2 linked regions of the Lonchura striata genome follow. The main gene of each other region encodes a partner of the protein of the gene in region 2 in a complex. Links are inferred from orthologs where the notes say so. Each region holds a gene or a part of one and is shown on either strand. Other genes may lie near its edges.

Region 1 (15,228 bases), on a different chromosome or scaffold from region 2:
GGCCTTAAATTTTATTACCTTGATGTTTGTGTTTCTGTCTAAAACCCCTCAAAGCTTCAGCTTGATTCCCATTTCTTGCACGGATGACCTGCAGCAGTTTTGCAGCCAGCTGGCAGAAAGCAATGTTAGAACTTCGAGAGCCCTGACAGACACAAAGCACTCCACTTACCTCCATGAGGAAAAAACTGTGCATAGATCTGTTTGAATGTTTCTTCATTAACAACCCCACTAGGACATTCCTGTTAGAAAACAAAAGGTTAAAAAGAGAAAGAGAATCAAGAAAAGCACAGGTTTGTAAAGGTTCATTTGCAAAACTCTACAAGCCCAAAGAAAGCAATGAAACAAATTACCTGCCTATTCTCATAGTACTTTGCATGCACACGATGTGCAGCTGGAGAAATTAAATTAATTCAGTCTGCAGTTTCATCCTAAGCATCTCACAAAGCTGGTTCAACATTATTAACATTTAAAACTGGGTTTTCAGCAGTTTCATCACTGTTTTTAATCCTCAGCAGAAGACTGTAGCCAGGTGAACAGTCCATAGCACACTAAGTCCTTCCAAACAAACCTCAATAATAAACACACCCCCACCAGCTCAGTGCTGCTATAACATACATTACAGAGCCTTGGGCACTGCTACCTAACCATGTGATATTTTCAGTTAGAAAAAATACTTCCCAGTTGATGGCACTATTCCTCAAATTTGCCTATCAACCAATTTTGAAAATTAAACCAAAGCAAACCAATAAAATAACCACAGCACTCAGTCTTTTTCACAGAGCACAGAATTGCAGAGACAGAAAAGTCAGCTTCCTCCCACACTCTGAGCCACTGATCAATAGAGACCCTGGGCCTGTTTCCTGCTGCAGCACTGAGCGCACTCAGCCATTTAATTCCCCAAGATCCCATCAGGAAGGGAGGAGGGAGCAAGAGCACTGTCCCTACTGCTAGGAGGTGCTGGAGATGGATTATCTGAGCAGGCTAACTCCCTCTCACAAAACTCACAGAACTGGAGCATATAGCCTGGCTTGGTGCTTATTCTGAGCTGAATGGCAGACTTGGAATCAAGAAAGTTCCTCTGTTCCTGGCATTATACTCACTCCATGCATTCCTCTCTGTGTCACGCTGTGATCCCTGCCCCACTTTAACACAGGTGCTTCAGCCAGGAACTTAATATAATATAACCCTTTGCACAAGGAACCACCATCTTTCCATACTTGGACCTGACTCCTATTACCTTGCCTGATAGTCCTCAACTGCTGTTTAGACAGAGCCAGCAAACAGTCAATATGACAACTTCTCTATGTGCCACTCATGATTTTGGAGGTTGCAAGGTTTCTAGTTAGATGAGCATTCTCAAACTGATCCAAAGCTCCTCTTAAAACATGCGTTGTCTGGTTTTCTTAACACAAGAAAAGTTGTTACTTTTTCATCTCTAAAGCAGAAATCATCAAAGGAAGATAATTAAATAGAATCTAACAGCTACCATAAGAGATTCTCCCAAATATTTCCTAAATATTCATGTTTTCTGAAGCTTGTAAGCTAATATGCATTAAATAAATAATCTGATATTTATTTATGGTATATTTTAATAATTGATCAGACCTAGAACTGTATCCACAGCCATTTTTGGGCAGCAGTGTTCTCCTTGGTCACTGAAGTGCTGTTGCTACAAGATTGCACAGGGTCCTTGCAGAGTATTTCACCAAATTGTCATTCTTTTTAAAACCAAGTCTGGCACAACTGGCCCATCCTTTCCAGCACAGTGCTACATCAAGATTTATTTCCTTCTCTCCTGTGACAAGAGAACCATTATATTCTCTAAGAACCACAACTTCACCTGCTGAAAGATGGTTTGTAGATGTTTCCCTCAACTGCAGAGTCCTTGAGGTCCCTTCCCTGTGTTTATTGCCAGAGATGTGTACATGGCTGCTGCTGCTGCAGCTGCCTGTGCTCTCTCACAAGGGCAAGGGCTACCCTGGCAGTTGGACCATTGGGCTTGCTTAATTTTCTGAATTTCCACGTGATCCTTATTGCTTCTGATGCTCCATCTGGAAGCCAAATAAAAGTTTGCATCATAGTTCTAGGAGTTCTGGGGAGAGGCAGTGCTGACATTGATCAGCCCATTTAGCTCTCTATAACTGGATTGCTTTCAGACACATATGCTACTACCAATTTATTTGCAGTTAATTGATCACAATTTTTGTTTTATAAGAGCCAAATAATGCTCCAGAGGCCTCATTAGTGCTATAGTACTACTTAATTCTGCTGACTCAAAAGAAATCTCTGTTGTGAAACAGAGCAGGTGAGCTTAGTGTCAATTTAAATTCCACTGAAGTTAATAAAGGTTCACTCATTCAAGAAAAAAATCCTTGTCAGTAAGAACACAGTCTTTCACTGTAGTATTCATAAGGCTTTCCTTTGATAGCAGGGTTTTAGGTTTACACTTCTCATTTCCTTAACCTAATAATTCTTTTTAAATGCCAAACAGTGAACATTTTTTTGTGTGTGTTGTCATCAAGCACAGGAAAAAAACCCTCGTTTTCCCAGGGCTGACTATCAAGCTCTGGCAGCACAAGCTGTGCATCTGAACTTGCCCACTTCTTTTAAATCACTATGCCACAAAGGAGCTGAATCCACATGAAAACCAAACACACACACCCACAAAACCAAAAGGAAAATAAAACAGCAGTTGCATTTTTCCTCTGCTGGAATCAGAAATAAACTTCACTGACTGCTTCCAGAGATGTGCAAAGCAGAGATGCAGGGACCACAGGGGAGCTGAGCATGCCCTGCCTTTCAGACCCTCCTCAGTTCAGCTGGCCAGAATATGAGGATGAGTACCCAGGGGTCACAGTTTGTAAATTAGAGGTAGCAAATTAGCCAACCACAGACAAACGCACAATCCAGATTTGCATCTCTAAGCACTCACACATTCCATGTAGTTTGTTGCTCTATGTTCTCCCACTTTGGAGATGTTTTGGGGATTATTAAAGTATCAGAATATTTCTCCCTTGCTTGTACTGCTCACTTTAACCTCCATAATCCTGCTTTGTTAAAATTACATATCATACTACCCTTTGTTACAGATTTGCTAAAGTACTCATACTAAAGCAAGGTAAGGATGTCTTCAGCAACCCTTCAGTCATTTGGGTTGTCTTTTCTGATTCAATATTAAGAAATTATCTCTTGTAGCTAACAAGCATTTCCCCTAACAGCACAAACCTTCCCAAACTGAGCAAAAAAAACCTACAAAACCACCAGTTATTTTAAATCCATGTACTCGATTCCAAAGAATGCAAGCCATGAAACATGGCCTAAGATGGAAGATCCTGAATTACTGAGCTCAAATCTCCGTATTGTTGGTCACTTAATTAGACATCAATTTATCAATTTTAATAATAAAAATATTTCCTTGCTCTCCTCCCTGTAATTCCATAACTGGCCACCAAACCTCTGTGGGGGCAGAAATCTTCTTCTAATTCAGCCTATGCCTATCCATGGCCATTCTGTTCCTGTGCCAATAATGCTGTTTAGCTCAAACAATTCTGGTGGTTTTGTAGACAGAAAGTATCACATTTTCTTTTGTTAAGTTGTACCAAAGCAAGACCCACCAGAAGCTCTGATGGGTTTGCCTGTCACTTTACTTGTTTAGAATCCCAACCAAAGAGATGGGACCAAACACCTCATGTTAGCCGGGCTCCAGTCTTACCAGAGCTAACAGAGAGGTGCAAAGGAGACCATTCACATAAAGTGGGCACAGGCAACTGCTAAATAAATGTGAACTGTTGGTCCTGGAACCAAGAGATGCTGGAGGGTGGCACACTCTCACAACTGGAAAGGCAAGCTGAAGGCAAAGAGAGGGGACATTTGGCCACGCAGCAATAATACAGGCCTGGTTAGCACGCTTGGCTTCTCTGGAAATGAATTTAGTGGCAACCTCTATCACTCTGGGCCAAAAACACCAGGCCAGATTAGTGACACCCTGGGTAAAGACTGGGATTATCTGGGGGGTGGGGGGCGGGAACAGAATTCAGAGACAAAGAAAGAACAGCTTTAAAGGTACTGAGAATTAGAACCCTGGTCAGACAAGGACCAGTCCAGAGGCCAGCCCAGGTTGTGCTGAGCTGCCTTTGGTGGAACACCATCCCTGCTCCTGCACACCAAATCCTCTGCAGCTAGGACCTTCATGCCTCTGTCCCCTACACCAGCTCCTGCAAATGGCTCTGTGATTATCCAGGTGTTGCCTTGTGATTAAACAGGACCTGTGCAATAATCACTGAGAATAAACAGTAAGTACGAGCCAGGGAGGAAAATTATTGTATTCCCACAGGGATTTTGAATTTCCAGATGTCACTGTAACATCATCCCAAGGAACAGACTGTTTGGTACAATAGCAAATACGGTAACAGATGAGCCAGTTTGCCTCCTGTACATAATTACCCATCCTATTGGAACCAGGATTTTCAAGCTACCAGTGTTAAAGTTGCACTTTCATGTTCATTTAAACCTTATACATGAAACTTTGCATATATTATGTGTAGATCAGCTGGATAAAAACAGTCTTGGTTTATATCTAGATATGTCTTAATATCCATCACTGCCAATTAATTGCCATCACTGCCAATTAATATCAAGACTTTCAGTGATGTCCTAGGTTTAGGTCACAAGTTAAATGCCCTTGTCTGCCACTATTGCCCTGGGAAGTAATGACTCTGTAGTGCAAAGTGGAGCAGAATTGGGAAAGGCAGAGGGTCCTGTGTGCTGAGTGCTCCAGGTCTGCCTCACTGGTTTGCCTCTGTAGCTGCAAATGCCCCCAGCACAAAGCAGAGCTCTCCCACATAGGATTCCCACCTGACAGTGATACAGAAGGCACTGTAGAGATCTTAGCAAAACTGGGTTTAATCTCACTCTGTAGGCAGTCATGTCATATCAGGGTGTTAACCTGCCAAGTTTTGTCTCTTTTTGTGATTGTCTGCTGGCTGGCAAAAGCATAAAGAGATATCAATGTTCAGTTAGGCAACTTTACACATGAAATGACCTCCTGTGTGCATCAAAGGCTGCAGAAATATGCCACACACACCACCAAAAATACAGAAAGCTGAGCTGTGCTTTGGCTCACTTAGGTGAGCAGTGAATTAAAGGGTGAAACCACCAGACTCCTTGGAAAAGTCAAATATACACTGGAAATGTAATCTGATCAAATTTCAAAAACCTTTCAAAAAGAAGGGCTTTTCTCAAAGACCCACAGGTTCTTCAGAACTGCCTGTATTTAAGGTAGCTCAGCTTTCTTTTGACAAGTTTTTACACAATAAACTTGACTGAGAAATGTCAGCATTCTGCTGTAATGGTTTCTAAATGCTGGAGCTGTCCTGCAAGAGAATATAAAAAACATCCTGTGTTTATTGAGCCAGTTTGATTCTGACCTGTTAATCACCATTAAAACATCAGCTGGCACAAACCACCTGGGTGACTAAATCCTGACCCTCAGGCAAACATGTAATGAGTACTCATTCTTCAAGGTCCATAAAGCATCTGCTCCATGAAGCCTCAACATTTCCCATCAATTTCTCCTGATTGTGAGGAGCCCCTGAGAGGCAGAAACAGAGCCAGGCTGAGGCTGAGGAGCTGCAGACTCTGGGCTCCCAGGGAGCCTTGCTGGAATGGTGGCTCACAAGTCTGGGCACAGAGCTGCTCTTCACACTCAGTCATGCCAGCTGGCACTGCTGCCTGCTTGCCCAGAAATCTGCAGCCTCTCTCTGGTCTCCTCAGTCTTAACACACATTCAAGTTTTGATTTCGCTTTGGCTCCTGCCACTCCAGCCTTATTCCCTACTTATACAGGACCCTGAAGTCCTAAAGTGCTCTACTACAAGAGCAAGATTTCTGCAGCTAGAGAAGGGATGAAATCTCCATCCTGGGCACCTAATTACAAGTGAACAGTACCACTTATATTTGAACATGAGGAGATGACAGCAAGGCTTAAATAAGTAGGCATAAAAATATTTTCAGGTTATCTTCAAGTATTGGCACAGCTGAGGAAATGGAATTGTGCTTACTGACATTTGAGGAACAAATTTAACGAGACCATTATGTGCTGAATATTCATCCAAACCCAGTTTTAGGCAGATTGCAGTGTCATAAATATTGGATGGAGAGGCAGATTGTGCTCATTTTGCTGTGGTATGGGAGATCTTATACAAAACTAGTAATGCTTTGCAGGGGAATAATACAAAATCGAGCTGAGCAGTTGAGGCTGATGAGGACATAGATATTAGACTGTTCATTGCGATACCGTTCTTACATTTTTAAATCCTCTGTAAAGAACTTGAAGTTCTCTTTTAGTGAAATTGGTTTGTGCTTCAAGCTGTTCCAGTCCCTCGGGTCTATGGCACACTGTCGTCATTTCTAATTCATCTTCAATTTTATCTGAAAGAGAAGGCAGGAAAATATTTATTTTAGTTGTTACTTTTGCTCTTTTAACATGATGGAGAGGACAGACAGGATTTCAAGAACAACAGATCAAAAAGAAACCATCAACAGAACTGATCAGTCTAAATGTTTTCAACCTCTTGAAAGCAAAATAAAAGCCATAGGAGTAAAGCTCACATTTTTTCCTGGGCTGCCAATTAGCTGTCCATTCACAAAGCCAAAATGTTGGTGAAAGCAGCAGGACAACAGCAGACACATTGATCCAAAAGGCAACCACAGACATTTCATACCTAAATATTGAGACAGCGTGAAGGAATGGCACTTCCAAAGTACTGACTTCAGCTTTCCAGCTGTGCAATTATCTCTGAGAAAGCAGACATGCTCAGGCATATCAGACAATGCCCTTATACTGGGGTTAAACAGTGAGGGAAACTCCTCTGTTCGTTAACCAAAAAGCTTGCTCTAGAGATATTGAAGGTCACTTTAGTCCCAGGAGAAATTCAAATTTTGTCCACAGTTGCAGAATCTGGAATTAATCCACCCTGAATTTAGAAGGACATTTTGGAGAAAGAGATAAAAAATGAAAGACACTTCTATGCATTTTATTCAAGAGTGTGTTCTTCTACAAGGATGAAAAATACTATCACATCCTGAATTACCATAACTTCACTTAATTTTTGATGCATGTTTTCCCCTTTCAAGCCCATCCCTCAGAACTGTATGTAATGCCCAAATACATAGATATTTAGTGTCTATCAGTTTGAGATTCTCTAAACTTCAAGGACCAGGTCCAGCCTTCAGCTGACATGAAAATCCAACCCACACCCAAAAGTTGCTTGCATAAGTGCAAACACTCCCCTTATTGTCAAAAACTGCACAATTCTTATCTTATAAAAACATTTTAGGTTATTTGGCTCAAGCATAATATAGTAGTTTCTGTTGTAAGTCAACAATTTAAATCAAAATTTGCAAGGAAATAGAGGAATAGAGGAAAGGCATGAATTCAGATTCACAAACTCATGAGCTGGCTGGCTCAGTGAAAGAACAGACCAGCCCAAAGGTGTATTTTCATAAGCTAATTAATTCTGCAGAGATACACACACACACACACACACACACACACACACACACACACACACATATATATATATATATATATATACATACACAGATTAAATTGATCATTATTAAGGGAGGGCACATGTCAGTAAATGCTAGTGGTTAATTAACATTGGTTCATTTTGTCAGTATTAAGAACTGGTTCAAAATATTGGTGAATTAAACTATGCTCTTAATCCACCACATCTGCAACATCAAAGTCAGTATTTGTAGACCTTGAACAGATAAAATGTATTCCTAAATCCTGTTCTGAAGGTCCCTTGCACAGCAGGGGAATAAAGGTGAGAGGCTGTAACAGCAAGGGACAGGAGCAGAGTATCAACAGTTCATGATGAAAAAAAAGGGACTGAAGGCTGGCAAGGGGCCAAAAGAAGTCTGAAGTACACACCTTACCCACACAAAGGGGAAGAGTCTAGAAATTACACCTCCTGTTAGAAGAAAGGAAATGTAAAAGGACATCTGCTACAGGCAAAAGTAATTTGAAATAAGGGGAAAAAACCATTTTCTTTGCATGAGAATTAACGACACAAAACAAAGGAATGCAGAAGCTGTAAAGAAAGAAAATTGTGGGGAAGAAATTATTTAAAATGAGGGATGAGAAATGAGTGGCTGAAAAAGAAAATCCACCTCAATAGTCTTCACCCTCCACAAAGATTTGGGGTTTTTCGTTGTTTCCTTTCAGTGCTTGCTCTCAAGTCAGCTCTTTTCAACCTGTTTCTTCCATTCCCTGATACCCTATAAATTAACCACAGAAACCTCAGTGGCAAAACAGGAGGTTGGCACTTCCTCCTCTGCTCTCGCTTTTTATCATGGGCATTTTAGTTCCTTTGATTTGCATTTTCATTATCATCCTGGCTCAGTCCCTCCAGCTCTTCAGAGGTGTCACTGTATGAAATATGAGTGCTTGCATTTATAACAACTACAATTTTATTAAACTGAAGTTCACTGAGGGTGGTGAGTGCAAGCAGAAGTGTATATACATAAACACATGCAAATTTAAACTAATAGGAATGATGTTAAGATATTTTATCTAATACCACATTCTTCCTCAGTTTTGCCTTGTTTCCAGTTTTCTCCTGAAAGATTTGAGTGTAGGAAACAACCTTGCTTCTGGTTTAAAGTTAATTTTCTTCTTCCATTCACTGATGCATGAACAGACCTTGGGACTGACTGCGCCCACTGTGAGGGGTGAGTGTGGCCACCTCCCCAGCTCAGTGACACCTGTACCTGCCTGGTGCTTACAGCATCCTTATGCTTTCCAAGCTGGCAGGACAGCCCTGCCCTGCTGATGGAGACACACACTCAAGGGCTGGATGTCATCCAACTGCTCAGTGAGAGCTTGAGCCTTAGCAAAGCTGGTTTGTTTGGGTTTGGATTTTTCGTTTGTTTGTTTGTGTTTTTTTTGTGGGTTTTTTTTTTTTTTTTTTTGGGGTTTTGGTGGAAGCAGTAACTAATGCAGAAGGCTTCTTCTGCTTACACATACTGATAAATGCTAATTTATTATTTTTCTGCTTTTATTTCCAACACTTGTCAAAATCATCACAGGATGAATCCCTTCCATACCAGATGGCTGCAGTGAGTTGTGTCCTAGGCTGAAGATTGTTTAATTGGTACAGAGCATTCACTTAGCTGTTTTCCTTACAATGTGTTTTAAAATGGGAGAATGGGATGTAACATTTCTGGAGTTCAGATTTATTTCTGCCCATATTTTTGTGGCTGCTTTAATAGCAGGGTATGAGGTCTGTGTCCAGTAGAAACACCTGTGATAATCTTACTCCAGTGTAGGCCCAGGTTAAAATAGTCACTTAGGTTTGTATTTTTGTGCAAAATAGCATCTGTATTTGCTTAGCCCATAGGATATGCACATTTCCTTTCATAATGGAAACCAAACAGTGACTTCACTTTACAAAGAAAAATAATCTTGACACACTTGCAACTACATGTATATTTACATATATATATATATATATATATATATATATATATATATGTAGATTGGTGCTAATGAAAGAGACTTTTTCATTTCACTGCTCCTTGCTGAAGAGCAGAGAGCAAATTTTCCTTAAGGCAAATTGATGTTTAAGCAGAATACACTTCAGAAGTCACTTAATGAGGCTTGCTTTATTCATCCTTTCATATTTGTTCCAATTTTACCTTTTGTTATCTTTACAATTTGGGAAGTTTCATATTCAAAGTGCCTGCAAATGGCCCTGCATTTCAGACAACTGTTTGCACTGGAAGGGACCTTAAAGATCCTCTAGTTCCAACCGCCTGCCACAAGCAGGACCACCTTCCACCAACCCAAAGCCCGTTTGTGTGCCATAAAACAATGATGTGTTATTCCCCAGCTGCTGCCTCAGCTCTGGGATTGAGCTGCCATGATTCTGAGCCTGCTCATCCTTGCTGGTGCCTGCAGCTGCCCCTGCACCCCCGGACTGTGCCCAGGGCTGGGTTTGCTGGGCCACAGGCGCTGGGGAAACAAGCATCGAAAAGCACCTAACACCTTCCTCAGGCGCAATCCTGCAGCATCTCCAGCCCACATGCCTGCCAAATGAGAAATAGTGAAGCCTCATACAGTGCTAGGGCTGGCCAGAGAGTGTAACCAATGATTTCAATAAAGATGTAAATTACACTGTCCCCTGCATCGGAAGGCTGCAATATGAAAATGCAGAACACAAGTTTTCGTGGTTCATGGGAGGACTTTGAAAACAAGTTGCTCATAATAAATTCACGTTTTGCTAAGGAAAACAGTCAAGGCATTAAGTGTAGCTAATGTGCCCATTGTTAATTGTAAAACTGACAGGCGTTAGATGAAATGGTTAATTTTACAAATACAGCTGAAGGGGATTAAATTACATGCAAGAATTATTAGACTGCATCTTAGTTTTATTTAAAAAAAAATCTATACTTTAGGACTAAGGACCTGAAGAAAAAAATTAATCTAGTTTACCCACGGTATACTTGAAATTAATCTCCAGACAGAATGTGCTCTTGGGCAGGTCTTGCAGGAAACAGGTCTTGCCTGTGGGAAATCAATTGCAAATATTTTGGTAATTTCACAAAGAAAAATAACTCAATGCCTGAGTGCAAAAGTGTTCATTAGGGCAGGAGCCGGGCAAGAGCTCTGGGGTTGTGAAAAATGCATATTTTATGATTGGCTTTTCACAAATGTTACAATAAATATTATATGTGTAATGTTAGAAAGTTATGCTGTACTAATTCTTTTAAGTAGTGCGTTAAATGTAGTTTTAAATTACAACATAATGTTAAAATAAAAACTCTACAATATAAGATTTGTTATAAGCTCAAGCAAGAAGATAAGCTAATGAAGAAACTCTTCACACAGAGATGTCAGTGACGGGGCCCATAAAGAGTTACTGCCTCCTTATCAGAAAAGACAAACATTCTTCGACCTTCTCTCCATCTTTTTAGAACCAACGAGATTAAAGAGAAGTTGACAAAAACCAGAAAAGTTCTTAATTTGCAAGGAATTTATGCATTGTGTATGAGATATATGAATATGCAACAGGCTATTGCTTTTAAGGGTATTCCTTTGTTCACAAGAGAAGCTTTTCATTACTGAGTGTCTGAGAGCATCCAGACGTCTGTAATTCTTTGCTTTTTATTGTCTTATAATTGTCCTAACTCTAAACTTTATTACTCTAATTGTATTACTATTTTTATAACCATTTTATTATTATTAAATTTTTAAAATTTTAAAAACCAAGTGATTGGCATTTTTCACAATTATGGTAGCAGAGGATGGTTACTAACAGCTCTCTGCCGGTGCCTTAGGAGACTCGGAGTGAAGAGACGCATCCTGCCCTGCTTGGGCAGCCTCGCTCTGTTCCCCTGGTGTGTGACCGACAGACACAGGTTTTAATCCAGGGACAAAAGGAGACAATAAAACAAAGAAAAGGGAAAGGATTCCCTAAAACCGCAGTAATTAGCCCCTAAGATTAACGTGTACATGAAGAACAAAGACCCAAGGACAAAGAATAGGTATTTGTTGGGATGGGGTGGATAAGGGGGGATGAATGCGTGTGAATGAGAGGTGAGCTGGTTATCCCAGACTTGCCAAGTGAGAGCGGAGTCTCCCATGCTGCCTTTCCGTATTTTTCACAAGAAAAGCGGCCAGTAAAGAGACGAAGTGAGTGAAAACAAGAGTGAGAGAAACCCCCCCGGGGAACCTGAGACTGGGTCTCGGGGAAGGAGTGGGACACCTTGGTGGGGGGGATAGGAAATAAAAATATAAAAAGAGGGGTTTCTTGACATAATTAATTGGGTAATTAAAAGGCAAAAAGAGGTTTTTTTGGCATAATTAATTGGAGAAAAATAAAAGGGTAAAAAGAGAGGGTTTTCCTTGGAGGAGCATAAATTTGCTACGTTGAGGGATTAACATCCTAAGAGCACTCAGAGTTGCCAGACTGAAGGATATCCAAGAGAATCTGGGGTTACGGTTGGATTGAGGGATAGCCAAGAACACTCGAACTGGCCAGTAACACCTAAAAGTGTAAGAGGTGTGTTAAAATCCTGCAGAATGGAGAGACATCCAGGATTAAACCTCCTGGGTTGATGGATGAGGGTTACATTCCAAGAGCACTCAGAATAAATGTAGATATGTAGATATGTAATATAGATTGTTTGAAAGTAAAAGGTACCTTGTATGTGAGAGCGAGTGAAAAAAAGAGTGAGCGTGGGCAAATGAAAGTATATATAACAGAATTGTGAAGTCAATAATTATGAATGAACAGGCTTGAGGGTGTCAATGTGTGTGAGTGAGTGAGAGATAAAGGAGAGTAAATGTAGATGAATAGAAGTATATGTAATGTAGATTGTTTATTTTAAGCTTTACTTTATTTCCTTGGAGGGAGGTGGATTGTGTTGAATTATATTGTGTTAAATGATATTGTGAGAAAAAGGACTTTTTGTGTAGTTGAAAGAAGGTGGTATTCAAGTTGTTAGAGAATGTGGGAAACAAAGGAATAGAATGAAAAGATAAGATTTTGGAAAATGGGACAGGAAATGAGTAAAAAAGAAGACAAAGGTAAAGAGAAGGGAGGGGAACAAGAGGGAAAAAGAAGAAAAGAAAAGGAGTGGGATCCTTCACAGGTGTTGCCCTCTCCATTCCTCTTCGCGCCGCACCACTCGCGGCCGAGCCGCTTGTCCCGGGCCCCGGCTCACTGCCCGCTTCGGTCCCGCCTGCCCCAGTCCCGGTGCTTGTCCCGGGTCACAGCAAGCCGCTCGCTTCGGCCCCACCTATCCCGGTCCCGTCCTGCCGCCCGCAGCCTCTGTGCCCGGCCCCGTCCCGCTGCTCGCGGCTGCCCGGCCGGCCCCGGCCCCGGCCCGCCCGGCTGCTCCGCCCGCCGGGCTCCCGGCGCTCCCGCCCGGCCCATCCCGGGGCTCCTCCCGCGGCTGATTTCTCTGCCCCAGCCCCGGCGACTCTGCCCGTCCCGGCTGCGCTGGGCACCGCCGCTGCTGCTTTGCCTCTGCCGGGAGCACCGGCCCAGCCGCCCCTAACCGCGGGCGGGCCGATCCCGCTCCCGGCTGGTGCCCCCGGCACTGCCCCTCCTGCAGCGGCTCCGGCAGCACACCCTGCCCGGGCTCCGCCTTCGGAGGACCAGGACTGGGCGCTCGGCCCTGCCCTCACCCCCTTCCTGCCCGGAGCTCCGCTCCCCGGGAACCGCAGCCTCAGCTCCGAGAAAGTCTTTCTATCTGTTCCCCTTATAGGAACACAGGAAGTTCAGTTAGGAGGCAACATTCTCCAGACTCTTCCTCACAGCACGTGAGAAAGGCTATATGTTATGGGTAATAAACATAATTTGCGCCATTCCTTGTATGGAATATATAATGTTAAATACTTGTTAGATTATACTCGTCTGTACTAGCCTCTTCCCCCCCCCACCCCCCCTTCTCCTCTCTGAATATACACACCTCAAGGTGTATATTGGAAACTGATTTACAAGTAAGAAGGTACAGCTCGCCAGGAGATGGGCCATGTCTGAAGAGCTGCGGGGGACCCCAGGTGCTGATCATCGCGTGAATGACCCGAGATGGGTATCATGGAAATCCTCAGACAGATACATGTGAATGCAGCGTTCCCGTAAATTTCATCACGGGATTCAACAACTCAGGACACTGAATTATTCTCCCTCATCTCCAAGAGAAAATCTTATTAACATATGGACTCTAAATAGAAGAAAAGACTGATTGCAGAAAATCTTGGCCTCAGGTGGAATTTTCCCTATAAAAACCGCTTGTGCCAGGATGGAGGCGTGTGGGCATAGGGGAAAAACCTCTCCTGAGGCTGACTCCTTGTTGCACACCCAGGGTCGATCCCCGGGCTCGGCACTGTTTTTTTTTCATGGCTGGCTAGATAGAATTTGACCACAAATAAAACTATTTTTATTTTTTAATTTGGCTGAATAAATTTTCATTTATAACACTATAGAAAAAGACTGGGCTAAAGAAATTGGTCTATTTCCACTAAGAAAGGTCCCGATGAGAGGGGGTGGAATTAGGTTTGTGAATGCTCCCTTGATTTCTTCTGAGGTCAGGAATTTTAAATAAGAAATCAAGAGGATTTTGAAAGATTCCATAGGCACTGCTGAACAAGACCAATTTCTAAGTCCAAACATCTATAGTTAAGAAGAAATGCAGTCTATAATAAAGATACTATTTTCTCAAGAAGAAAGGGAAATTATCAGAATTACAGGCATAAAAGCCTAGAATAACGAAAATCAACGAGGGCCTCCCAGAGAAGAGAAAATGCCAACTGCACCTCCTGAGTGGGGTCAAAATGGTAAGAGAGAAAACATATGAATTGAGATAAGTGGAAGATCATTTGTTCACTGTGATATGCTCGCTTACCTTGGTTTGCATAAGAATGTACTGGTGTGTCTTTGAAATGCTTATTTGCTTACAAGGTGATAAGGAGGTTGAGATTAGAGTCCTGGGTATGTGTATCTGGTCTGCTTGCTGCATCTCAAAAGAAGAGACTTAGAAGCTATCACAACGACCAGACTCAGACTACATCTGGAGAGTCACGCCTGCAAGGAGAAGGGGGGGGATAAAAGGAAGGTTGGGACAGAACATTTTTGCGCGCCGTTGGTGGAGCAGGAGACTCCCCGGCCGCCCAGCGCTGTGCTTTGCCTGCCTTACTCGCTTGCTATTTTCAATAAAATTGCTTTATTGGATTAAGACACTTCAAATTGCCGTGTCACAATTTATAACAATTTGGTGCCGTGACTCGGATGGAGAAGTAGATCAGTCGCTACGGGACGATCGGGAGGCGCCCCGCCCTTATGGCGGCCCGGCTGCCCCAGGCTTTCTGATCACTCTCCACCGACGAACCTAAATTGAGTAACGGGCAAAGGAGAACCGGTTACCCCTGTAATCTTTGTGCACGAAGAACCAGCGAAGACGCAGGACGCGTGAGTATAGGCCGGTTTCCCGCTCGGTTTGGGGTGGTTTTCCCGGAGTGCTGTGTGTGAGAGGTCTTGTGGAGACCAAGTGAGTGCGGACTCTGTATTAGTGCGTTTTCCATTCCCCGCGAGGGGCTGGGCCACGAACCAGGGGAGCACGTGTGTGAGAAACTGAGTGCACTCCGGAAGATGGGACAGAGGAAAAGCAAGCCCTCTGGTCCCATGGGAGAGGGGACCCATGCTAAGCTTCCCCA
Region 2 (15,144 bases):
AATGGAATTTTAATACAGCAGTGAGATTGCTTTAAAACTACTCACAGAAGAGCACTACATTCCTTGTTTAAAGTATAATATCTTCATAAAACACAAACTACACTATAGCTCTGACTGACTTGGGAACAAACAATAGCCTTACACCATCAAAACCTTACCAGCTATTTCAGCTCACTTGCTGGCTCCTGACGGGGCAGGTGGAAATGTATTAGATTGTCATGTTGTCAGGCAACAGAACTGTCATTATGGGTGTAGATGTTCACAAGCCCCTGTGGAGTTCTGCCAGTCCCAATTCAGTAGACTTGAGCTCTTCTCTCTGTCATCTTCACACTAACCTCATTCTTTACCTCTGTGCTTTCCACTATTATCTTGAATCTCCATAAAATATTTTGTGACCTCTTTTAATGTTATTCTATTTTCTCTTCTTGTTTCTACTTTACTTTTGCCAGAATTAATCCTGATAAAACACTACTTTGAAGTTCAAAATCAGACAGTTCAGTTTCTGGAATTGTGCATGCTATTTTTCTAGAGACATCTTCCACTTCTTTTTCTCTGCCTTTATTTTTCTCTTGTTCTCTTTCTTCCTTTGCTCCTTTCTTCCCTTCTTTTCATTTTTTTTCAGCTCTTTCATGTAACATTTCCATGTACATGTACTACATGAGCTGAGCAGTCAAGAGCAGTTAATAGCTGGGATATCCTTGGAGGTAAAAATATAGTAATATTTGAAGTCACTAGCACTCTGCAATCTATGTTTTTTAAAGACACTTTAATTGCTCAGCAATCATGCAGAACTGAGAAATATAGCTCTGCTTCCAAGGTAATAACTCCCCAAATTGCAAAGGTTGCTTACTCAATACCCTTGCTATCTAGAAAAATATGACAATGACACCAAGACTTAAAAACTCAATTCTATGTTAATCTATTATTCACTGTTAGCTTTCATGGATTTTTGTAGTATTTCACATAACCTGCTGTGTGCTACTGTCATTTAAAACATAAAGACTTAATCAAGCTTTGTTTCTAAATGAGAGAAGTTGTTCCTATTGAGTCCATTTATATATCTCTGATTCAGCTACAACTAAAGTTAAAATGAACAGGAATTCTATATTAGTAAAGAGATGGTAAGCTTTAGCACACAGAAAAGGTATCAGTAAGAATTACAGTCAGCTTTCACTGACCCTTGATGCTTTCCCCTATAACTTCCCTCTCCTTTTGTGTAATTATCCCATCAACTAAAAAGATTTCAAAGGTTTTATTAGGCTAATTTTATTTAAAGTATTCACATATATATATTTAACATTTAAACATAATCTTTACAAAGTTATCATGATGTTATTAAAAGGACATAATCTAGCTAATGCACTGATTAAATATTTCATAAAAATTGGAGATGTCTGTAATATTTGAACCTCTATCATACCTGAACTCCTGAGGGTAAGACTTTGGATCTCTGTCCAACATGCTCAAAACATTCTCTGTTCAACATGCTCAAAACATTCTCTGTTCAAACTACCTTAAAAAAGTAGTCAAGCAGGAGAGGATTCTCTTTAACCCTTTTTGTTCCACTTGGGACCAAAATATTATGCTGTTGTATACGTAAAAACAGGTTCTTAGGTTCTACTCAAAGAGATTTGAAATTATGTTCAAATTACAGCAGTACTTTTGAAGATTTTACTCAGAGTAATACTTTAAAACCTGGAATTACAGAATAATACTCATGTACATGTGTATGTGTGTGTGTGTGTGCAAAAGAAACACACAAATCATACCAACACCATCTATGATACCATACCTGTGGAGGAATCAGTTGCAATTTGGGCATAAAACAAGAAAAGTTTCTCTTCAGTACCATGGACAAGAACTTCACACATTGTTCATGAACATGGAAACAACATACTCAGAAAGTACCTTTGTTACTTAAAAAAACCATATACCAGCTTCTGGGTTTTTTTTATAGTAAAGTATCAGTCAATTCTTTCTTTAAAACATCACTGTTCTAATTAAAAATAAATTGTAAAAAGATCAACATCAGAAAATACAGGAATGTGGATCTAGTTACCATGCCTAACTTGTTTCTTCTTCTAACTGGTCCCTTCCATTTGTCACTGGCAACAGAAAATGAAAACCAAAAAGCCAACCAGGAAACTAAAAGGTGGATTAAAATCCCTAAAGCTCTTGTCACTCCTTTTTAGCATAACTTGCCCTTACAAGAAGTATGAAATATTTACTATGCACTATATTTATCTTCATTTGTTATATCACACAGAAGATAAAAGCCTTGTATAAAAAATGGTGGCATAAGACATTCCTTTTATCTTTTTCAATATTTTGTATGCGTGTTTCCCAAGTAAATTACTACTGCACATAATAAATCAAGTTTTCATAATAGTTTAATAATGCACTTTCATTTCGTTAAATTTAAAAGTTATATATGTTTCATAAATCTCAACGGTCCCAACAAGACATGGCAAAATGCTAATAAAATTATGGGCTTGCCTTAATGAAAGTGCTAAGTTTGTAATTTAGTATCTGTAATTATTAAATAACTAGTCAGTTTGCAATGAATCAACAAATTTTCAATTTCATAGATGGTATACAACTCAAAATTAAGAATAGGGAAAAACTATCATCTCAAATTAGTCAACTTTCTAAATCTCTATTGTAACTACAGACAAATGCATTTTATAACTTGGTGCAAAGAATCAGCTATACAATCAGACACTGGTATCAGAGACTTCATAAAATAATACTTTCTCTCATCTTTCCATTAAAATGCATTACCTTCTAATGTCAACAGTGACACTTTTAAACCCTTTTTCTCTGAAAGAAATTGTATTGCCATTAGAATTGTTTAAAAATATATGCTTGATGTGTCATATGTCTCACACTTCGTCAGATCATTTTCTGGAGTGTCTCACCAGTCGGTGTAGCTTGAAACCCATAATTTAAAAGTTATAGGTCCATGAAAATCAAAGGAAATGTGTTCAGAGTCTTAAATAAAATCACGAATTTTTTTTTTTGTAAAGACAAGGTATGATTTTCATGAAAATAAATCACTTTGTAATAACAAATTCAATATCCAGGTCTACATCAATACACAAAACAAAATGGCAGATCCACATACTGATCAAATTAAAAGTTTGCACTTTGGTTCTCCTTAAAAACATTAATAATTAAGCAACACTGTAACAGAGCCTGCCAGCAAAGACAGTACTCCATTAAAAATCCACTGATAACTCACACATACTCATAAAACATTCCAATTTCGCTGTCCAAAACCAAACAGTTTCAATACTTTTTTGCTTTGTTTTGTTGTTTGCTTTTTCAGGTTTTTTGCAGTTTTTTTGGATTTGGGTTATTTTAATTTCAGCAATGCTATTAACTTAAACATGTAAAACACCTAGAAGGAAGTCACAAGTTGTATTCTTAAAGTTTTGTAGTAAAAACTTACCCTCACATTTTTGTCAATCACCGTTTTTTTAAATTGAGTATTTTTCTGTTTGTGCCAATACACTTGTTGAAATGTTGGCTGTAACCAAACACCAGCTGCACTTACCCCAGTGTTGTCATGGTGACAATGGTGTACCAGAAGGCTGCAGGGATGCTGGTGAACTTGCTGGCTGATGAACCTTTCTCTGCATAGTACATGACTGTGGCAAAGATGATGATGGCCATAGTTAGTGAGAAGAGGAGGAAGCCTAACTCCGAGGCACAACTTTTCAGCGTATAGCCCAGGATGCGCAGACCCTGTGAGTGGCGGGAAAACTTAAAGATTCTGAAGACACGAAAGACTCTTAATGTCACAAAAGCCCCACTGACATCCTCGTTATCTGTCATCACCAGGCCAATGTAATATGGCATAATGGCCACCACATCAATGATACTCATGACACTGCGCACGAATTTGTAGCGACTAGGAGCTGCCAGCAGACGTAGGAGATATTCAACTGTGAAGATCATGACACAGGCAGTATCCAGACAGAAGAAAGCCACCGCATACCGCTCTCCACAGGGCAGCTCTTTGATGCGACCCGGGCTTACCCCACAGGGCACTGTCTCCACCACATTGGCAATAACAGAGACAGCAATGAAGAAACCAGTGACATAGTAGAACACCAGAGCCAGGGTACTGGTGTGTGGGTTTTCAAAGGCCCGCCACATCCTCTGACGAGCTGTCATTGAGGGTAGGGAGCTCTCAGCTACGTGATCCGTATCAGCATCATCCTGCAGGCGCTCAGCATTCTCCCGCCGGCGATCCTTGTACTCCTCATAACAGCAGTCACCAATGATCTCAGGGATGATGCCGAAGAAGGCCAGCTCCTCATCATAAGCTGAGATGCACTCCTGGCGGGGATAATGAAGCTTCCCAGTACGGTAGAAGTTGAGAATGTGGCGGAAAATGTCAGGGTCCCGATCAAAAAAGTACTGCTGTGTCTCAGGATGGTAGAAGAAGTCCCGCTCTGAACTGCCCAGCAGAGTGTCAGGGTAGCGCTCTAAGGTGTCCAACCATGTCTGGAACTGGATGCCACTCACATTCAGCACAATCAGAGAGTCCTGGCTTCGCTTTCTCTCCTGCCGTGGAGCAGCTGGCATGGGACCAGTAGCCACTGGCATCCATCCTATGGCTGCTGCCCTGGCAAAGGGTAACCAAGCTGCTACACCTGCCGCCATGGTTCCAAACACCTATTACAGCTAAGGGAGTCAATCTAGACACAGTTCTGGTCCAGCCACTAAAATAGAGAGAGAAAAGAAAAATACAAATTCTCACACATTCTTGAGGCAGCAGAATTTCTGAACATTTTTGTGATATTCAGTATTAACTGAAAACCCTTCTGCTTCCTTTTTGTTCCCTCCACCTTTTCACCCCAGAATACGCTTTCCAGGTGATGGTCAGACTGTTAGGACAATAAATGAGGGCACTTGGAAATCCCTGTATTCAAAGCAGCATCTCTAACAGCCAGATCCTTTGGATATAAGGTCTCCCTCCATTCGAGGCCCCTGGATGGAAGCAACAGTCCTCAAATCACTAGCCCCTGGAGCCGGCTAGTAGCTCTAGTGCAGCTGTGCAGCCACCTGGAAGATTTTCCTCCGCGCGCGATGCAGCCGGTCCCCCCGCCCCTCCTCCGCTCGCTCCCGCCCGCCGCCGGAGCGGGGCCGCGGCAGCCGGCGGAGCCCTTCCCTTCCCGGGCGGCCGCAGCGGGGCCGCCGGCGCCGCTCGCCGTGGAGGGGCGGAGGGGATGGGCCGGGAGGGCCGCCCCCCTTCCCGGCGGCAGCCCTGGAGCAGCGGCGGGAAGAATCCTCTCCCTGACCTTTAATCGCCGTCCGGGGACTCCTCCAGATCCCGGCTAGGGGCCAGGGGAGCCGGCGGGGCAGGGGGAGGAGCTCCGGGCGGCAGCATTAAACTTTAAGGCAAGTTTTCCGTGCAGGAAACGCTTTGAAGGGCAGAGGGATGCCGGGGATGGGGCGCCGGGAGCGGGGAGCGCCCCACAGAGCAGGAGGGGACAGAGCGGGGCTCTTCCCCGGACGGAGCATCAGGGCACGGCCAGGGGCTGATCCCCGGCGAGGAGACCGGGGTCGGGGAGAGCTCCCGCGGTGCTGGCGGGGGCAGGGGCGGGGGCTCTGGAGACACATGCAGTAGGTGGGCTGCCGGGGCATCCCCGGGAGTGCCCGAGCGGGCGGCGGAAGGCGAAGCCGAGGGAGGCTGGCTGTGGAGCGGGAGAGGAGCAGGAGCTCCCTGGCGGCGGGGGAGGCCGGGGGCGCGGGGCAGGGATGCGGGGTGCCTTAGGGCTCGGCGGTCGGTGGTGGATCATACCCTCCCCCCACTCCCCCCGTACCCCCGCCTCCTTCCTCTCGCCCCTTCCCCTCGGCTCAGCTCTCCAATCGCTCCAGACGTGCCCAGTCTGCGGCACCTACCTGTGAAAGTCTGGCGAGAGCGCTCAGTTGCATAGAGACTTTTGGAAATACGGGCTCTGCCGCTAGATCTCCGCGCCCCGCCGGGAACGGCGGGGAAGTAGTTGCTCCTGAGAAAGCTTGATCGCATCCAAAGGGACATCGATAATAAGGCTCTCCCCCACCCCCACCCCCCTCCGCCACCGCCGAGCGCCAAGCAACAAGTTCAAGGGGTGGGTGGGGGGAAAAAAACAACGTAATCGCGCCTGGCAGCTCTTGGAGCACGTCCTTGCGGGGCGCGGATCCTGCGGCGCGGGGCCGCTGTCAGGCGCGGCTGCGGCTGCGGCCGCTGCCCCTGCCCTGCCGCGGGCTGCGGGCGGCAGCGGCGAGGCCCTGGCGCGGCCGGGGGCGGGGAAGGGGCTTCCCGCTGCCTCCCCCAAGGCGGGCGGGCCATGCCACCCCGCCGCGCCGCCGCCGCCCGCGGGCGAGGGGCGCATGGGCGGGCGGCGGTGCGGGCGCGGGGAAGCGCGGGGCGGGCGGGCAGGACATCGCTCCGCGGGCGAAACAAAAGGGATGCGGGCAGCCGAGCCGGCGGCGGCAGGGCAGGCAGGGAGCGCGGCTGTGCCGGTGTGCGTGTCGGTGTGTGTGCCGGTGTGTGTGCCCGTGCGTGTGCCGGTGTGTGTGCCCGTGCGTGTGCCGGTGCGTGTCTCTGCGGGGCCGGGATCGTGCGGTCCAACCCCTCCGCCGGCAGCGCCGCACAGACCCTCTGGAGTTCGCGGTGCTTGGGGTAGGGATCGGTCGGCGGCGGTAGCTTAGGTGAGGTACCGAGGGGATTTCTGGGGAGCGCTAGCTGCTTTCAAGGGAAAGGGAACCGTTCACTGCAGAAAAGGGGGAATGAGATGCCTGGGAGTGAAGTGTATGATGCTCCTCACGACCCGCCCCGAGCCACTCCGGAGTTCTGGTTGCAATGTCCAAATGGCTCTTACCAGCTTTGGGAACGGCGAGAGCTGGGACGGGTGTGGGAGCCTTTTCCTCCTCCTCTCGTTCCGCTCCCGTGCCGAGCCGCGTCCCTTTTCCGGACGCTAGATGGCGCGTGGATGACGGGAAGTGAGCTCCCGCCGGGGCCGGGCCGCCCCGCGCCGCGCGCTCCGCTCCGCGCCCGGCGCTCTGCCCGCGCCGCGCCGCCCCGGCCCCGCCGCGCCTCCAGCTGCTGCCGGGCGCGGGCTGGGCGGGCGCCTGATTTCCCGAGCCCTGCGCGCCGCTCTGATAGTGCCCATAAATAGAGGGAACGGTCCATATTTTTCAGTCAGGATTCTGAAACCGCTCCATGTCTTCTTCATAGACCTTGCAAGAAGATACCAGAAGGTATTCCTCCTTCTAATTTGCCTGTGTTTCCGTTTGGTGGTAAGAGGTTTTGAAAAAAAAAAAAAAAACACAAAATAAATAGGCTCCTTTACATGTGAAGTTTTTACAACCAAACCTTCCACTCTGATAAGCAATTTGAGATATATGCCAAAGAAAACCAAAGCAAAAATAAACCAAATACACACTGAACTTTGGGAGTTAACTCTTTTCTGTATTTTAATAATATGCTCAGCTTCAGTATATATTCACTTCTAAGTTCCCATGAAAAAGATGAACACTTTCAGTATTGTAGCCTAACCTACAGCCTAAATTGTTCGTTCAAATAATACTCGAAAGCACAGAGAGAAAAGGCTTAAAAATGTTTGAGTACAAACTCTAGTATAGGAAAACTGATTACATATATCAAGTCACTTGAAATAAAATATCACATTAAATAAAAGATACTTTCTGTATATTTGCTGCACTTGTTTGTTGATTTGTTGCTTTACTTTCCTGAAAATAAAGAGGTTTCCTTGTCAGCTATAGATTCTTCTTGTAGTCAATAACTGCTCTTATTTTTTTAACATGCCTAGCTTTACAAAAATCAGTGGCTGGCTTAAGTTGATCTTTTTCTTTAGAGCTTTTCCTGAATAGGAATCTCACAATAAAGAATTTTCTATTCATAGAGAGAACCCGTAAGAACGGGTGCCATTAGAGAAACACCTAGATTCCTGTTGCAATCTTAAAGTTGTTTCAGAAATTTACAAGTTTCATTTAAAAAAATGGAAAAAAACCCCAAACAAACCCTATATTTTTGGACAATTTTGGGTACCACATAGCATTATAGCATTTAGTCTGTTTTAAGTCAGAGGTTTGAAACCATTTGAGGTATAGAGACTTTTCTGACACCCTTGCCTGGAAAAATGATTGCCTCACCTTAAAGTTTTGTGGACACCCAGTGTATCAGTCATCTTTCCAAAGCAGTGTCTTGGAAGTAAAAGAATAGAGTCTATTGACTCCTTAATTAATATGTTACTGAGAAGCAATAGCCAGGAACTCAAACTTTCACAGCTAGTACCTTATATTTAATTCATTAAAATTGCCTGGCTGAAGTATTCCTTACTTCATATGTTTCAGAAGGACTAAATCTTGCTAAATAAAGTGTACCTAAATAATCAGGTCTTTCTAAGTCAAAATCCTGCCTGTGAAATCAGAATTGGCCACAAAGAGATTGGTGTGATGTGACAGGGAGGATTATGACTTCAAGTAGGAATTAAATAGCAGGGACTCAAATGAGACAAAAATCCTATTTTCAAGGGAAGAAAATAAATCCTAGTAATTGTAGGAAAAAAAGAAAATGATACTAGGGGGAATGCACAATGGGCTCTAAGATGAGCTGTTTCTTAATTCATTCCAAAGTCATGAGACACAAAGAACTCTCTGAGGATTAAATAAATTACCAGCTATGATGCAGAAGTTTATATTAATGAGCTTTTTTTTTTTCCTAAATATTTAAAATGTTTGAAACTGCAAGTTTTCTTTACAGACTGAAAGCACATGTGTACCCCTCTTTTTAATTCGTCTAGTATAAGACAGTTTCCTTTTGAGAAAAAAACACTGCAGATGGTGTTTTGTTTTGAGGTTTGTTAGGTTTTGGTTTTAGTTTTGTTTTTTTCTTCTTTTTTTGTTTTGTTTTGTTTTTAATGAAGGGAACATTCCTGAAACCATCTAAGTAGCAAAAGTCCAATATAAGAATTTCTAGAATACAGGCCCATTGAAGAACTAGGTTGTGAGATTAAGAATGTGTCTCACAAAGGAAAATGTTTGATTCTACCTTGCAAAGATAAAAAAAATAGTGCTTTGGTCAAACATGGAATCAGCCCAAACACCTATAGTCAAAGACTGCAGTTTCTTTGCCTTCACAGTTTTTTTTGTTGTTGTTGTTTTTTTGGGGTTTTTTTTGTTTTGTTTTTTTTCCTAAATCTAGCTGGTTTTTGTGCTTTGGGCCAGACGGAATAAGGAAAAGGCTTTTGGTAATTTTTCCAAGACAAAAAGTCATTTTTCTGGGAGTTTGCTAAAATAGGCTCAAGTCACTCTGCAGTGCAAGTGCTTGGTGTCCTTCTTCCTATGTGGAGAAATGGATTGCTCTGGACATTAAAAAATCACCTCTCACTGGTCAATGATTAAGACATACTATGGAGGGAGTGCACCATAGACACCGTTTCTTTTAGATTCTGAAGTCAAACTGAAAGGTAGTATAGCCACCACTTGTGGGAACCCCAGGCTTGCTCTGGGGTTCCATGTGGTGGTGAAATTTCTCCTCCAACCCGTGCTTCCAAAGAAAAACTGCACAGGCTCTTGCTGTTCAGTCTCAAGGCAGTTTATTGTGAGTTGTCTAAAAGATTGTCTTCTCGGGCTGCGGCTGCTTGGTCAGCGGCCCAGGCAGAGGCACACACACACCCTGACATCCTCTCTATCTGCTGTCTTCTTCTTCTCCCTCCCGCCCAGGGCTGCTGCTATCTTTTATATGATATATTACGTGTTCCATGTTTACAGTTTTCCCCAGTACCTACTACCTAGAGTGCTTTTCTACTCTAAACCAATCTGTGAGTGCCAACATCACCAAGAACATGGAGGCAAGGAAGAAGAAGGAGGAAGAACAGGATCCGCCCACTTTCCTCCATCTTAGAACTTCTGACCCCCATGTACAAAGTAAAAACCCCCCTGTACAGATGCTAAAACCCCCCCGTACAATACTAAAAAAAATTCCCCTCTGTTTTGTAACTACTTTTACTATATTATCTAACCTTTTGTGACTGCTTGTTCCACCTCCAAAGTTGGTAACTCATTCCATGGCTCAAACTCAAAATCACAGCTGTTTCCAGCTGCCTGTCGGGATCTAAAATGCTTCTGACCAAGGCCTGGAACCTCTAAAAATGTCTGAGGGACATTTTGAGTTCCAACAACCACTAACCTAAAAAAAAAAAAAGACCCTTACTTCTGTGGAAAAAGGATTTTTTTATGTATTTATTACAGATTTAAAATCTGGAACATGAAGGCAGAGCTGTCAGCATTGTAGTTTCTTTTTTTCTTAGTGTGAGGCTAAGTCAATATTTGGAATCATCTCAAGAAAACCATAGACTCCTCCAAAGAAGGGACTAATTTGATCTCAAATATATTTGCTTTAACTTTTCCAAACCAACAAATACTGATTTAGTCATTATATATGTTTTTCTTGATGTATAGGATATTATATGAAACATTAATTCTGTTAAACTATTAGTCTTATTAAGTTCTGGGAATTCCTCTTTAGATTAGTGATATTGTACCCATCAAAGAAATGTTAAGTAACTTTTAAATTTTACTTTAGATAAAGACATATTTCTCCTTTTGAATTCATGTTTTGTTTCATAAGGTATCTTCAAACAATTGTTTTGTCTGTGTAATTAGACCAAATTTCAACCAATTTAGCTTTAAACACCTGTGGTATCTAATTAGGAGCCTTCTCTCCGTGAGTTCTTGGAGTCAATAGAGGGAGAAACAGCTCCTGAAAGCAATCTATCCTACCTACAATCTCAGTGTATGTAGGCAGTTGCCAATTGCCTATAAAAGGCAGTCTGGGATGGCTGTGGTCCTTAAGGTATGAGTCTTTGCATTAGGATATTTTGCATTTAGGCAAAATGGTCCTGAGACTTAAAGCCTGAGCCAGTCTGCTGCATCAAAAGGAAACTACCCTGGACTTGAAGTGCCTTTAAGGTCACATCCTTAGAAAGAGAAACTAAGAGTGAATTCAAGCAGAAAACTAATTAATGACTACAGTTCATACTCGTGGTTGAACTGAAGCACTTTGGGAAGCCTATGACAAAGATGCCATTTGCCAGATTTACTCTGCATTGCCACTGCCACATTCCTAAGCACATGCAGAATCTTCAGTGTCATCAAACACTCCTGTTTCACTCCAGAAACAAAATTTTAAAAATCAATTTTTTTTTACTTCACAGTTTTTGACTTAACTGTCTTTTTAATTTTTGTTCTCTATAACATACAGCATGGGAATCTTTCAATCTGCATCCAAACATTACCATTTTAGATACTTCTTTTTTCTTTGTATTCCAGGAAATGTAGGGTTTGGATGCTAGCCACCTTCCTCACTCCTGCAAAAACCTCACAACGATCAATGGCTCCCTGCCTAATTAGTCCCATCTCTCTTATACTGCGAATCCTTTCTAAACTGTTTTGTTACTAGATTGGCTCTGCTCTTCAATACCTGACGTGGAGGGTACCCAGAGAGGAGTATTGCAGCTCTGACTGAGAGTGACTGCAATTGTATCCTTCCCATTTTTAATAACTGGTTTCTGTTCCAGCAAAACTTCTATCATTTCAAGTTTCAGCAGCTTTATAGGACTCCTATATGAAAGAGATGAATATGTGCAAAAATATAGTTAATAGAAACAATGTGTCATTCACTGGCACAGATGAATATAGAACATTTTTCAGAAGTTAGTAGATTGAATAAAGTTATTATCTTACTTTGCAAATCGCTTCCTTAGTCCATCCAGCTCTTAGCAAAGAAAGAAGCCTGAGGTCAGTCAGGCTGGCATGAAGCTGGTAACTCTTCAAAACTGAGAACATCTGGAGAGCTGCCTGTAGGGGCACCTTTTATGCCAGTAATTGCTAATAGCCCCTGTACCACAGTTCAGAACAGGAAATAGAAACCTTCTTTTATGTTAATGATTGCTTTCTAATTGCATAAACAGCAATGAGATAGCAGTCATTTATAGAAGCTACTCCTCCAGCTCAGGGAGGAAATAATTTTTTGTGGTGTTTCTGGTGGCATTGCTGTGGTGAGTGTTGAGTCCAAGCTTCCAAAAGGGAGAAAGGATAAAATAAAATATCTTTTCAACAAAAGTGAAGCATTACTCATGAAGTTTTTTTGCATGAAATTAATTTTAAAATAAAATTGAAAAAATAATAAAAAATACAAATCAGAAAAGCTGGCTTTTTTTTTCACTTTGGTTTTATTAGCCTGGAGCAGAGTCAACAGTTTACAAATCCTGAGAAACATTTAGTTAGACTTGATATCATGGTTACTGCATGTCATATGATCCTTGAAGTTGTAAAATAAAAATATTACAATCAAAAACTGTCCTAAAATTAGTATCATTATGATCTATATAGTCCCAAAAAGGACTATATCAGAAGATGTTAGATTTACGAATTATTTATCGTCATCACAAAATTAAACAAATATTTTATTGTATGATTAGCAATACTTCACCTCAAAGACAGTTTTCAGCACAGGCTATTCAGTTATAAGTTATGCCGTTAAAAGAGTCTGACAGCTTGCACAATATTGTTGCTGTCCAAGTTAAAAGAAGTATGTTTCAATGAAATCATACTTGCTTCATAGGAGGCCATAGCTTTGTTTACCAATTAAAGATAATCTTGCTGTAGTTTCATCATTCATAAATCAAATAGCAACAAAATATCTAATTTTAATTATAACATTTTTAAAGCAAGATCATAAGAAACCAAATCATCACAATGTCAGACCTTCAGTTTCCTTCCAGATTTGTATGTAGCATTGCCCAGTCATTTAAAAAAGATTGTTATATAACATAAAACAGCCTCAAGAATAGAGTAGTTAGGATGTATTTTGTTTACAATGTGTGAATCAAAAAAAAAATCAAAACATAAGCCTGTTCAATTGAATTAAAATTAAAGCAATACAAAGTAGAAGTGTGAAACACTAGACAGTAGACACATTTCTATAAATACAGCTCTGTAAGAAGAAATAAAACCACTTGTTTTGTAAAGATCCCAAAAGCAGTGAGAGTTTGAAAACGGTTGAAGTCCATTTACAGCTTCTGGTCTGCTTTCATTATCCTCTGCAAACCAGTCATATAATTCACTGTGAGTTTGGTCATTTAATTTTATCTGTTATACTGAATGGAAATGTTGTCTAGATGGGACAGCAGTCCTTCCAAACCCCTTACTGTACTCTTGTATTTCATCCTCCAGTAATAGCAATTAGGGCAGAAGGTAATGTAACATGGAAGGCTTTTAAAAAAAAGAGTAGCACAGTGCAGCATAACTATTGATGTCCGATTCCCCACCCGTTTTATGTCTAAGGAAGGGTGATCTCATTAGCTTCCTTCACAGTGAATAATAATAGAGTGTTTAGTCTCCAACCACTTGCTAGTTTTCATGACATTATAAAAACTGCTTATCTTTAGTCTTTTTACCCCTTTAAAATTACACTCAAGAATTAATGTGAGTTTGACAGATGGAGTGACATTGGAAATTACTGTATTCAGTCTATTTTGAAATTTACTCAATTAACCTAGAAAACCATTCAACAAATTGCCATTTTTCTTTATTTTGATGGTTCATCCTGAGAATTTCTTGCCAGCTTGCTCAAGAAAAGAGAGATCTGGACACATTGTTTTCCATTCTCTTTATAGACTTTCACATTTCACCCCCTTTAGGTGAAACTGGTTACATTAGGCAGTTGCAATTAACAGCACAAAGGTTGCCCTTGTCTGGTTGCCATAACCGTGAACTACATCAAAGGATTATAACTGAGAAGTGTGAATCCCTCTGCAGCTTTTCCACAGCAGCCACTAGCCAGAGGTGTGTGCAGATCAGCTGTTCTTGAGCACCAGCACATCAGTGGCCTATCCCCTTCTGAGACCCTAGTCCAGACAGCTCAAGCACTTTGTAGCTTTTGGGGATCTCAGGAAAGCATTCTGTAACAGACTTGTGTGCTTGTGTACACATGTTTAGGAGAACAGCATAAAAACCAAGCACAGTATAGGTTGTTCATTATCACCATGATTTATTATGAAAAATGCTTATTTCAAAGGTAGAATTAGTTGTTAATATCATTCATATTGCTGACAAACTCTTCCTCTTATGAAAGAAACACTTTTTCTATCATAAATATTCTCCCGATCTCTTTTCTTTGACTGACAGAAACAAAGTGCAATAAAGAATTCATGTTTCTTTTTTTCTGTTTTAATGTCATCATGAGTGTGCCTGCCTTTCTTCTGAATTCATGATCTCCTCTTGTATTTCATTGCATATGGAAAGCTCAAATACATAGCTGGTTAAATTTACTCAACCTTTTAGGAAATTACAGAATCCAATATTATGTTTGAATAATAGATATTTTGCCATTTGGTTTGTTGAAATGTAAATACCATGACTCTATGTAAAACAGAAATGACAGATGGAGAAAGTTGTACATGCATACACTCTCATAGAAAAGTGAGAAATGTGTGTTTGTGTCATTTCAAGCTTGATCTAGAGAAGTTTTGCATATAGAAATACATTTTTCGTTGTAAAAGGAAAGATAGATAGACTACAGTTATTGTTTTCTGGTTTTCTTTGTTTTGTATTGGACATGTAGTTGCCAAGATGGTAGCTTTTCAAAGAAAAGATTCTATGGTTTGCAGTAGAATAGTAGAATTGCAAATAACTGCTTTTATTTCATTTTCCCCCAGTTCATTGCCTGAACAAAAGAACTATAAACCCCAAAACACTGTTGTATATTGACCCAGAGCTAAAGTTCATTGATCACACCACTGAAAGAAAAGAATGAAATAAAATTTACACAGTTACAAAATTTTGTTAGAAATATTTCATTTGGATTTTTTACTTTAATTTTTCCCAAATTTTGGCATTTAATAAAGTAAAAAGTCATTTCAAAACAATGAAAAATAAATGTAAATAAACCAAGTTTTCAGATTTCCCCTTTCATACAAATCTGTCAAAAGTTATTTTCACCCAAAGGCTTTTTTCAGAGAAAAATAAAAATCATAAACAGAGATTTCCTATTAGCTGTAGACTTTTCAAAACTTATTCATTAATTTAATCTTTGATAGAGGTTTTGTATTTGGTTCTGGTCTG

Evidence for each region.
Region 1: the proteins of KCND2 (region 2) and A-type potassium channel modulatory protein KCNIP1 are in contact, whole or in part, in a cryo-EM structure (PDB 7E8E), measured with the Homo sapiens proteins. The link is inferred for Lonchura striata from reciprocal best matches to the Homo sapiens genes KCND2 and KCNIP1. Residues at the interface, in NP_036413.1 of Homo sapiens: Ala2, Val5, Ala7, Trp8, Pro10, Phe11, Ala12, Arg13, Ala14, Ala15, Ala16, Ile17, Gly18, Trp19, Met20, Pro21, Val22, Ala23, Ser24, Gly25, Met27, Ala29, Pro30, Gln33, Arg35, Lys36, Arg37, Thr38, Gln39, Asp40; in NP_001030009.1 of Homo sapiens: Thr60, Arg62, Glu63, Val66, Leu67, Arg69, Gly70, Phe71, Asn73, Glu74, Phe85, Ile88, Tyr89, Gln91, Phe92, Tyr101, Leu105, Phe109, Phe122, Leu126, Leu129, Leu130, Lys137, Thr141, Leu144, Tyr145, Val162, Ile165, His185, Phe189.

What each region holds. Positions count from the first base shown.
Region 1 is NC_134617.1:17,654,392-17,669,619, forward strand, and holds the start of A-type potassium channel modulatory protein KCNIP1, read right to left. Parts: upstream 6,823-15,228; 5' UTR 6,822-6,822; coding exon 6,722-6,821; intron 6,662-6,721; exon of another isoform or gene 6,609-6,661; intron 6,429-6,608; coding exon 6,304-6,428; intron 240-6,303; coding exon 170-239; intron 1-169. UniProt on the Homo sapiens protein: Regulatory subunit of Kv4/D (Shal)-type voltage-gated rapidly inactivating A-type potassium channels. Regulates channel density, inactivation kinetics and rate of recovery from inactivation in a calcium-dependent and isoform-specific manner.
Region 2 is NC_134607.1:33,257,391-33,272,534, forward strand, and holds the start of KCND2 (A-type voltage-gated potassium channel KCND2), read right to left. Parts: upstream 6,069-15,144; 5' UTR 5,914-6,068; intron 5,410-5,913; exon of another isoform or gene 5,258-5,409; intron 4,731-5,257; 5' UTR 4,672-4,730; coding exon 3,557-4,671; intron 1-3,556. UniProt on the Homo sapiens protein: Voltage-gated potassium channel that mediates transmembrane potassium transport in excitable membranes, primarily in the brain. Mediates the major part of the dendritic A-type current I(SA) in brain neurons.